Cricetulus griseus: one gene and its partner. The protein of the gene in region 1 purifies or fractionates together with the protein of each later gene. This does not show direct contact. Links are inferred from orthologs where the notes say so. Each region holds a gene or a part of one and is shown in the gene's direction. Other genes may lie near its edges.

What was found. The genes of interacting proteins can lie anywhere in the genome.
Region 2: the proteins of Slc16a11 (region 1) and Emb purify together in Homo sapiens (co-immunoprecipitation; 3 studies listed by BioGRID and IntAct, counting the BioPlex papers as one, with this or other methods). This does not show direct contact. The link is inferred for Cricetulus griseus from reciprocal best matches to the Homo sapiens genes SLC16A11 and EMB.

Annotation. Positions count from the first base shown.
Region 1 is NC_048600.1:84,037,151-84,042,211, forward strand, and holds Slc16a11 (monocarboxylate transporter 11), read left to right. Parts: upstream 1-1,619; 5' UTR 1,620-1,900; intron 1,901-2,000; 5' UTR 2,001-2,145; coding exon 2,146-2,347; intron 2,348-2,589; coding exon 2,590-2,733; intron 2,734-2,984; coding exon 2,985-3,752; intron 3,753-3,834; coding exon 3,835-4,064; 3' UTR 4,065-4,111; downstream 4,112-5,061. UniProt on the Homo sapiens protein: Proton-linked monocarboxylate transporter. It catalyzes the transport of pyruvate across the plasma membrane.
Region 2 is NC_048595.1:334,932,847-334,937,885, forward strand, and holds the start of Emb (embigin), read left to right. Parts: upstream 1-1,833; coding exon 1,834-1,942; intron 1,943-5,039. UniProt on the Homo sapiens protein: Plays a role in the outgrowth of motoneurons and in the formation of neuromuscular junctions.

The DNA of each region.
Region 1 (5,061 bases):
ATTTTTAAAAATGAGGAAACAGATACTTGTTTGCCATCAGATAGCTAAGACATAGAGCTGAAAGTCAGGCTCAGTATTTCTTGTTGGGAGTCCATTTTTCCAAAGCTGCATTAACTCCACGATCAACACACAACTCTGGCTAAGAACATAGGGTAGAAGAGGAATGTGCTGTTACAGGCTTCTGGGGCTCAAATCCTGCCAAAGTGCACAGCATTACCTGGTACAGCCCAGACCTAGAGGCCCCCGTCTCCTCCCTGCCTATATTTCTACTTCACCATGGAGAAAGCAATTCCTTTCGGTTGGCCTGGTTCCTCACTAGCCTTCTCGGAAAACCAGTTCCCTGCCTCCCTGGTGACCTGCAGGCTCCACCACCTCAGTGACTTTCACAAAGTCAGCCCCTGGCTGGTGAAACCAGTGAGGGCACTTTCCTAAAGTGTATGTAGCAGGACCTCAAACCTTCAAATCCTCCTGTACGAGGGCATTTCATCAAAGAAAAACAATGTATGCTAAAACCTAGAATTGAGAAGTGTAGACCGGAGTAGGGAAGAAGCTAATTCCCCGGGGTGGGAGGGTTGGATGGAAAAGTAGCTTGGCTTGCCCTTGACGATTGTGGGCCTTACCCACAATGGTGAGCCTCTGAAAATCTGTGCACTCTTTAGCCTTCCAGCATCACAACTTTTGAGCTATACTTTTCTTTCCTTTCTAGGTAGATGCTTTCTCATTCATTAGGAAACACTGCCATCCTGTGGCTATGGGTTGATATGTGCTCCAACCAGCAAATTGCTGAAACTTCAATGGCATTGTTTAATGATTAAACCAAAGAGCACACCTATTGAGTCAAATGGCTGAAGAAAAGCAATAGTGACCTGTAAAGAGGGATGCTCGCTAGAGTCTTCAGCAATCTAACAAACAAAACAAAAGACATCTGGCTTAATTTCTCTGAATTATTCCCAGCCACCCTTGGTTTAGAATCCTACGCACTGTGGTTCTGCATAGACGCTGCCCTTTCCAGGGCAGTTCACATCAATCTGTCTCCAGGCTATTTCCCTCGACTGTGGCAGGCTGTTATCACTCGTTGGTCTTTTCGCCCTGTATCCTCCCACTGTGAGCTAAACCTAAATTCAAATATTTCCACTTTCTTTTTTTGAAACTGAACGATTTGGGGAGGTCACCTAACCCAAACCATCAGTTACTCCATTTGTAAAATGGGGATAACACCTTCGTCATAGGGATATTGTAAAGATGAAATGACAAAGTGTGTAAAGATTGCCTGGAACATCTCCGGGCTTGGTACTGGAAATTATCTTCCCCAGAGGGTTTGCTAGTGTTGTCCATTGGAGGCCAGTGATTAGATGTCGGAGGTTTACAGGATCCTCCCCAACAACCCGAGAATCGAAGAACTCTTTTAGGCTTTGGAGATCACCCACCGCTATTTTCACGCGTGGGCAGCTGGCCGAGCAGGGATTGCAACCCGACTCTTCTTGCGTGCGCAGCCGGCTGCAGGTGCGTGGGCGTGAGCCCCGCGGCGCCGGGAGGCGCGGGGAGGGGCGGGGCGCGGCCACCCGGCACACTCATTCCGCGCGGTTCCCTATCCAGGACCGGGGGTTGTGTGTGGATAATTCAATCCCCGTGGGACTCGGCGTCAGGCCTCGGCCCAGGCTTGGTGGATTGGCTGTCTCGCTTGCCCGCCCTCAGCACTCACACCCCCACCCCCACCCGCGTCCCAGGTGGCTCGGGCCCCTGTGGTGATCTCTGTTTACGGAGAGAGCCGGCCCAAGTTGGGCTCCATCTCTGCACTGGCTGGCTGCTCTGCAGAATCCTGCCTGCCTGGAACCCGCGGGGAAAATCCGGCTGAACCCACCTTCGCCCTTTCCCTACCCCCAACGCCGGGAGAGGTCGGGTAAGAGAAAGAGGGTTTGGGAAGGAGGAGCCCCCGGCCCGGGGGATCCTGCTGCCCCCCATTCCAGGACCTCACGCGCACCCAGGACTTCTATCCCCAGGCCTGGTTCCCGCGCCCATGCTCGGGGCGACGTGCCCACCCTGGGCGAGCAGCCCGAGGCTGGATCTCAGGGACGTCAGCTCCCTAGCGGAGGCCCAGGCGTGGAGACTTCATTCACAGGTGTTTCCCCACCCCAGCAGACGGCGATGACCCCCAAGCCAGCCGGACCCCCGGACGGGGGCTGGGGCTGGGTGGTGGCGGCCGCAGCATTCGCCGTGAACGGGCTCTCCTACGGGCTCTTACGCTCCCTGGGCCTTGCCCTCCCCGACCTCGCGGAGCACTTTGAACGAAGCGCCCAGGACACTGCGTGGGTCAGCGCCCTGGCCTTGGCCGTGCAGCAGGCAGCCAGTGAGGGGGGGCCCTCGAGGTGGGAGGCGGGAACCGGGTGGAGAGGCCGTGAATGTAGTGATGGGAGACAGGAGACTTGATTACCAGACAACCTGAGAGCTACTGGTGGAACCAATTTCTAGAAGAGTGGGTCTTGAGGTCAAAGGGAGGAGTTACCAGGCCAGACAAAACAGCCAATGAGAAGTGTTGGAGATAGTTTGGGGGTCCTGGGGCATGTCTTCGTTGACTCCGCCCCCTTCTAGGCCCAGTGGGCAGCGCCCTGAGCACTCGCTGGGGGGCACGCCCCGTGGTGATGGTTGGGGGCGTCCTAACCTCGCTTGGCTTGGTCTTCTCGGCTTTCGCCCGAAGCCTGCTACACCTCTACCTCGGCCTGGGTCTCCTCGCTGGTAAGAAGAATGGGATGCCCGTATGCTACAGGGGTTATAATGGGGACAGGAGCTTCTTGTGGGGTAGGGGACCAAACCAGGAGGAGAGAGAGAGAGAGAGAGAGAGAGAGAGAGAGAGAGAGAGAGAGAGAGAGAGAGAGAGAGAGAGAGAGAGAGAGAGAGAGAGAGAGAACGCGTGGAGAAGAGAAGCAGGGCTAAGGAATGCTAGGAAAACCATCCTCATACCCTCATCCTGTCCTATCCATTTGCAGGCTCCGGCTGGGCCCTGGTGTTCGCCCCTGCCCTGGGTACCCTCTCTCGGTACTTCTCCCGCCGTCGGGTCTTGGCGGTAGGGTTGGCGCTCACCGGTAATGGGGCATCCTCGTTGCTCCTGGCACCTGCCTTGCAGTTCCTCCTTGATACTTTCGGCTGGCGGGGTGCCTTACTCCTCCTTGGCGCTGTCACCCTCCACCTCACACCCTGTGGCGCCTTGCTACGACCCTTAGCTCTCTCTGGTGACCCCTTGGCCCCACCTCGAACCCCCTTAGCTGCCCTTGGCCTAGGTCTCTTCAGGCGCCGAGCCTTTTCAATCTTTGCTTTGGGCACCGCCTTGATTGGGGGCGGATACTTCGTCCCCTATGTGCATTTGGGTCCTCACGCTTTAGACCAGGGCATGGGGGGTTACGGGGCAGCGTTGGTGGTGGCTGTCGCTGCAGTGGGAGATGCGAGTGCCCGACTGGTCAGCGGATGGCTAGCAGACCAGGGCTGGGTGCCCCTTCCGCGTCTTCTGGTTGTGTTTGGGTCTCTGACTGGGTTAGGGGTACTGGCAGTGGGACTAGTGCCCACTGCGGGGACAGAGGAGGGTTGGGGGGCTCCCCTGCTAGCTGCGGCTGGAGCCTACGGCCTGAGCGCCGGGAGTTATGCGCCACTGGTTTTCGGTGTGCTCCCGGGACTGGTGGGCATTGGAGGTGTGGTGCAGGCTACAGGGCTGGTGATGATGCTGATGAGCCTCGGGGGACTCCTGGGCCCTCCCCTGTCAGGTAAGGGCAGAGTCTGGAGATTCGCTTAAGACTTCTGCCCCTGGGATGCCGGGCCTCTAAATTCCTTTATCCCTCTTCTCAGGTTTCCTAAGGGATAAGACAGGAGACTTCAGTACCTCTTTCCTGGTGTGCAGCTCTTTCATCCTCTCTGGCAGCTTCATCTACATGGGGCTGCCCAGAGCCCTCCCAACCTGCCGTCCAGTCTCACCTCCAGCTACCCCTCCCCCTGAAAGAGGGGAGCTGCTCCCAGTTGCACAGGTCTCCCTGCTCTCGGCAGGGCGCGCTGACTCCTCCCGGGATACCGCTTGTTGATAACTTTCTCATTTGAGCCCCTTCCCTAATAAAGGATTTTTATCTGACTCTGTTGAAAAACAAACAAACTAGCTGAAAACAACTGGGCCCCAGTGGCTCTGGCAGTAAGGAAGGATGCCTGTCCAGTCAGTTTTCCTTTGCTCAATCCTTGCCTTAAGAGGGTCTTTGAGAAGTTGTGAGCTAGTCATTTTCAGTTTGTTAGGGGACATATCCTAAACCCCATACTTTACATTTTTATTTATGTGGGTATGTGGAGGCCTGATCTCTTGGAGCTGGACTTACAGGCAATTGTGAGCTGCCTGGTGTGGACACCCTGAGCCAAACAGGTCACCAGGAGGAGCAGCAAGCAATCTGCTGAGCTCTCTCTACAGACCTACTTTTAAAAAGATTGACATTTATGCTATATGTGTGAAAGTTATATGTGTTATATGTGTGAAAGTTATTTGTGTGAAAGTATGCCCCATGTATATGGGTGTCCACGGAAGTCAGAAGAGGACACCAGATCCCCTGGATCCGGATTGATAGGTGGTTGTGAGGGTGGCTCTGGCCCTCTGGAAGAGCGGGAAGTGCTTTTAACTGATGAGCCTTTTTTCCAGCTCCCAAACATCATACTTCTTCTTGAATTTGATTTGCCTTTGTTAGCCTGAGAAAAACAAAAATCCACGTGGGTATGGTTGTGAGTACCTGTAATCCCAGCACTTGGGAGGAGGCCAGGTCTCAAGTTCAAGAGCAGCCTGGGCTACATGGTGAGGCTCTGTCTCAAAGTACAAGAATCTTAGGTTGCAGCTTCGGCTCCCAAGCCACCTTCCTCCACACATAGACTTTTCTCTTCGTTTTTCCCTTCTATCACAGGACTAGTGGAGAAGAGGGAGCTAAGTGGACGGGAAGGAAGAACTTGGGTCACCAGAGCTCATGGATGTCTCCACTCCTTTGTTCAGCCATGGCCCTATTAGCTGCCCCAAGAACCTGGACCTCCAGCTCTTTTTGAGGTTTCAAT
Region 2 (5,039 bases), on another chromosome or scaffold:
GTTTCTCTGTATTGTTTTGGAGGCTGTTCTGGAACTCACTCTTTAGACTAGGCTGGCCTCGAACTCACAGTGATCTGCCTGCCTCTGCCTCCTGAGTGCTGGGATGCATGCGCCACCAACGCCCGTTTTTTTTTTTTTTTTTTTTTTTTTTTTCCATTGGACATATTAATTAGGTGAACCAAAGGGGGCTTTTGATTGCTGGATGTCAATACTTTGATAGCTGGACCTTGATAGTCAGCCTCAGAAGGAGAAATTGGCTAAACAAGGGAATAGGTTTTGGGGGCTTGCTTTAGGGTTGTAATCTACGGTTTACAAGGGAGAGGGAAGGAGGATGGGCAAGGTTGCCAGAACCATGTTTGTCAGGCCTGGGCCTGCTAGGGCCTTTCCTACACCTCAAATAAAAATGTAAAAGAAGTAATGCATCACCCTTCAACGCCTCAGTGTATATGGCCTTTCTCATTTTCCATGTATAAACCTGAAGTTTTCCAGCAATTTCACATGAAACCCTATTTACAGCAAAAAGAAGTGATCTAACTATCCAGTAGACGGCTTGCAGTCTATCTTTGAATCTTATCAGATTGTAATTCCACCTAAGGCACCATTGGAGCCACCCTCTAATTTCACCTAACAAAAAAGCGGGATAAAAGAAAAAAAAAATGTTTCTTTAGTAGTCCTTTGAGCTGTAACTTGATAGTCACCAAAATGGTACGGATGGTTAATGTTAAGACACAGCTCTGAACTACCACCCACTCCCCACGGTGTCGGGTGCGTTTTATCCTTTGTATTAACCCTCGAATTTAAATCTACCCTGAGCAAAACTCCTTTGTAATTAACTCCAGCTGTGCTTCTCACCGTCTCATTCTGAAATTCCTTCCTCCAGTTTTACCTGGAGGTCCCTACAGTAAGGACTGCTAAGTAAGGCTGCTGCGTTAGACTATAAGGATCCTTCTCCCCTGACCAGCAAAACAATGGTTTTCAATTATCTTAATTCATTTGGTGAAAGACTTAAGAAAATTCCAACCTCAGGTCCCTCACAGATAAGAGATAACATTGTTTTCCACAATGCTTGACAAAGGTGAATGGCCTTCTGCAGTTTACATAGTACCCCTTTACTTAGTTTTTGTTTCTTGAGCTCTTTGGCGCCAGGAAAACTGTTGCCACGAGCAAACAAAAGGAGACACACTACGGGGCCTTGGGACTCTGAAACCTTAATCCGGAGGGAACTAGCTAAACCTTCAGAGATTGGGGGAGGGTGTGAATGACTGATAGGAAGCTCCCAGGAACATTAAGTTCCGGGCTCAGGGACACAGGATAGCGCCTCGGGTTTGGCAAAAATAAATCTAAAGATGTACAGGAGCAGAAATATCCTGTCATTTCCACCTGTCTCATCAAAGTAAATAAGCGAACCCACCCAACGGATGCAAAGAACAGTCTGTAGGGAGTTGGAACACGTCCCGGAGGTGATGGGCTAGACATCACCTGGCTGGCTCGATTAGCTAGCTGCCTCCCCAACCTGGGCAAGTCGAGAGGGTGGGGGCGGGAGAGGATGCTGCTGCAGGGGTTACACAGCACATCCGGGCGCGCCTGCAGCGGGCTGCATAATTGATGAAGGGCCGGCGCAAGGCTGGGCCGGCCTCGGGTGCGCTGGGAGCGTCTCGGGGGAGGAGGCCAGGGCGGTCGGGCCCCTCCCACTCCGCTTTTTCTCGCGTGTCCTGGCCCCGGGACTGGCAGTGGGCGCCCGGTTACCAGCAAGTGCGCGCAGCGACAGATAGGAGACGGATCGCAGCAAGCCAAGGGCGCAACAGAGACCTCCAGAACCGACTCGCCCGCGTCATGCGCTCACTCACTGGCCTGAGGGCGCTTGTGGCGCCCGACTGCCGGCTCCTGCTTCTGTGCTTTCTGGCGGCGACGCGCCCGTATTGGGCAGAAGGCGACCCCACAGGTACCTGGGGTAGCGGGGCGGCACCGGGGAGGACTCTATGCGTACGGGTAGCGTCGCAGTAGCCGCGACCCTCCAGCCCGAGGGCATCCTTTGCCGCTCGCGCAGGGGCTGCGGGGATGCGGGCGCAGGAGGCTGCGGAGCTGAGCGGAGGTGGCCTCTCATTGGCTGGGCGCTGGTTAAGGAGGAAACGTGGGAGCAGGGGTGGCTCCAGGTCCGCCGGGTCTAGGGGTGATCTGGTCCCATTCTAGCCCAGTTTGATCCCGCAGCTGGTACTGGGACAGGGTCGGGTTTTTCCTACCAAGTGGACTAATAGAGTGCGTGGGTTCGTGCGGGGGATGCTGGGGCTTGGCTTCTGCTACTGTGGCATTATGAGTCCACATTCCCGAGGCCAACTCCCTTCACTAGAGGCCACGGCGAGGCCCTCGGATCACCTTTCTTCCTGGCAGGTGTTGGCTTTGAGGATGTTTTTTAGAGCAGATGGTAAAATTCACCACACTCAGCCAACTCAGTCAAGCCCAGATATGGGAATTATTCGTGGGTCTTGTCTTTACACTAGGGTCTTTATCAAAACAAAACATTTTTTTTTTCCCGAGGGTGTTGGGTTGCGTGCTTAAGGCATGTCAACAGAAGGATTTATGTGGTGGAAAAACATTGCCCAAAGTCAAGATCGGGTTTGCCGTCTTAGCTCACCTGTTTATATTTTCTGTGTTGCAAGCGGTCCGTGTAACCTGCTTTTCAGTGCAAGTTCCTGTGTCTGAAGGGTTAGCTCTCATTTAAGTTATCACTAACCGCTCAAGCAGTTGAGGGACTGGCCCACTGGAAACTGAGGCCAGACATTCTTCTACAGAAGGTTTTCAGCTATTATAGAGTATTTTCATGAGCATGTCGACTGGTCGAACATGCAATAAAGAAGGAAAATAATCAAAAGGATACACACACAACTTGGGTGAACCCTTTTGCATTCCGCTAGTCCGTGGAATTTCTTGCTCCACATCTGGTTTCCATCATAAGACTTAGAAATAATTGTCCGGGACATGGACACCCCCCACCTCCCCCCCCGCGCCCTTCCTAGGTACGCCTGATTCTTCTACTTTCATCCACCGTCATTTGCTTCTGAGTGTTTCCTCTTTCTAGCCCACTTCCAGTCCTCCGTCTCATTTTCTCTCCTTCCCTTCTCCCCTCCCCCTCTCTCCCTTTCCCCCTTCTCCTTTCCTATTTTCTTCCCTCTCCATTTCTGTCCCCTCAGTTCTGAGTGTGGAACTCTGGACCTTCTGCCTGGAAAGAAGCAGCTCCACCATTCACTCTCCAGTGTTGTTTGAGTCAGTCCTAGAAGTTTGGTGCTCCACTTGGCAGCAGTTATAAATTATAGGAGAGTTTTAAGAGACTGATACCCAGGTCTTGCCCTAGGAAAACCTGATTTATTTAGCATAGATGTCAGTCTGGGCCTTAGTGGTTTTGAAAATTCTCCGTGTGAGTCAAAGCAGGCTAACATCACATAAGACCCTGAGAATGTAGCTACTCTGCCGGCATGTGGTTGAAGTTAATATCCACACCTGGCTTCTAAGGGGAGGAAACCAGGAAGCAGATGAAGCTGTAAATGATTGTGTCCAATGACAAAGGGTTAGGGTTAGGACATGGACTTCTTCACAGCCCCCACTCAGTAGAAAGCTATGAAACAAATAATGCATTTGAAAGGCCTGGCATCTGCATCTACTTTGAAGCTAACCTCCAAAGTGGCCATATTTTCAGCAATTAAGCTGCTCTTGCAGAGGACCCAGGTTCAATTTTCAACATCCACATGGTAGCTCTGTAACTTAAGGCCCAGGGAATCCTATTTGATGCCCTCTTCTGGCCTTTCTGGGTACAGACATAGATGTAGGCAAATCGCATACACACACACACACACACACACACACACACCCCGTCATCAGTTCTACAGAACTTTCTATATCCACTATTTGAATGAGATTCATCTTATTCTTTGCTAAAAAAAATACTGTAAGGTTTACTGGATGGTTTTTGTGTTTATCCTTTTAACTACTTAGAAATAGCTGTTCTGCTTAAAGACGACTTTGGGGGCAAACTTCAATAATAAACTGGGTATAAGTTCCTGTACTTACATTCTGTGCCAGCTACTGTACTATGCAGCGTGTAGCCTGATGAGTTAAGAGTTTATTTTCTCTGATTTTTCAAAGAGGAAGTTGGGGTTTCAGTTAAGCAATTGCCCGAATGTTTAGTAGTAGAGCAGAAAGTTTGAAGTTAGTCTGACTCCACAGCCTGTTTTCTTAAGGCAGTTCTCTGTGAGATAACTGGGTGTGCCCTGGAGAATTTGGAACCACTGACCAAGAGAGTGAGAGAGTGAGCGAGAGAGAGTGCACGTATGTTAGGAGCTGAAGGACATAAGCACTTTTCAGTCCTGGAATGAAGTCAGTAAGGCTCGAGGAGTGAATTACTGGCTTCTTCAAGTATTTTTGTTTTTCTTATTTTTTAAATTGTTTTATTTATTTTGTGTATTTATGTACATACATGTGTTCGATCATGTCTGGATACTACAGTATGCTCCTGAACATCAGAGAACAACTTGAGAGTAGTTTTTCTTCTACCATGTGGCTTCTAGGAATTGAACTCAGGGTGTCAGGCTTGGCATTGGGGTGCCCTTGCCTTCGGAGTCATCTCAGCAGCCCCTCTCACTTTTTGTTTTGTTTTTTCAAGGCAGGGTTTCTCTGTCTTTGGAGGCTGTACTGGAACTCACTCTGTAGACCAGCCTGGCCTCAAACTCACAGATCCACCTGCCTCTGCCTCCTGAGTGCTGAGATTAAAGGTGTGCGCCACCAATGCCCAGTTTACAAAGATATTTTTTATTTGTTAATTAGAAAAGGAGGAGGGGTGTCACTGGGCGTTGGTGGGGCATGCCTTTAATCCCAGCATTCAGGAGGCAGAGGCAGGTGGATCTTTGTGAGTTGGAGACCAGCCTGATCTACAAGGGGTAGTTCCAGGACACCTCCAAAGCCACAGAGAAAACCTGTCTCGAAAAGCCAAAAAAATAAAAAATTTTAAAAATATCTTTGTAAAAGAAACATTATGTAAGCAGGAATAT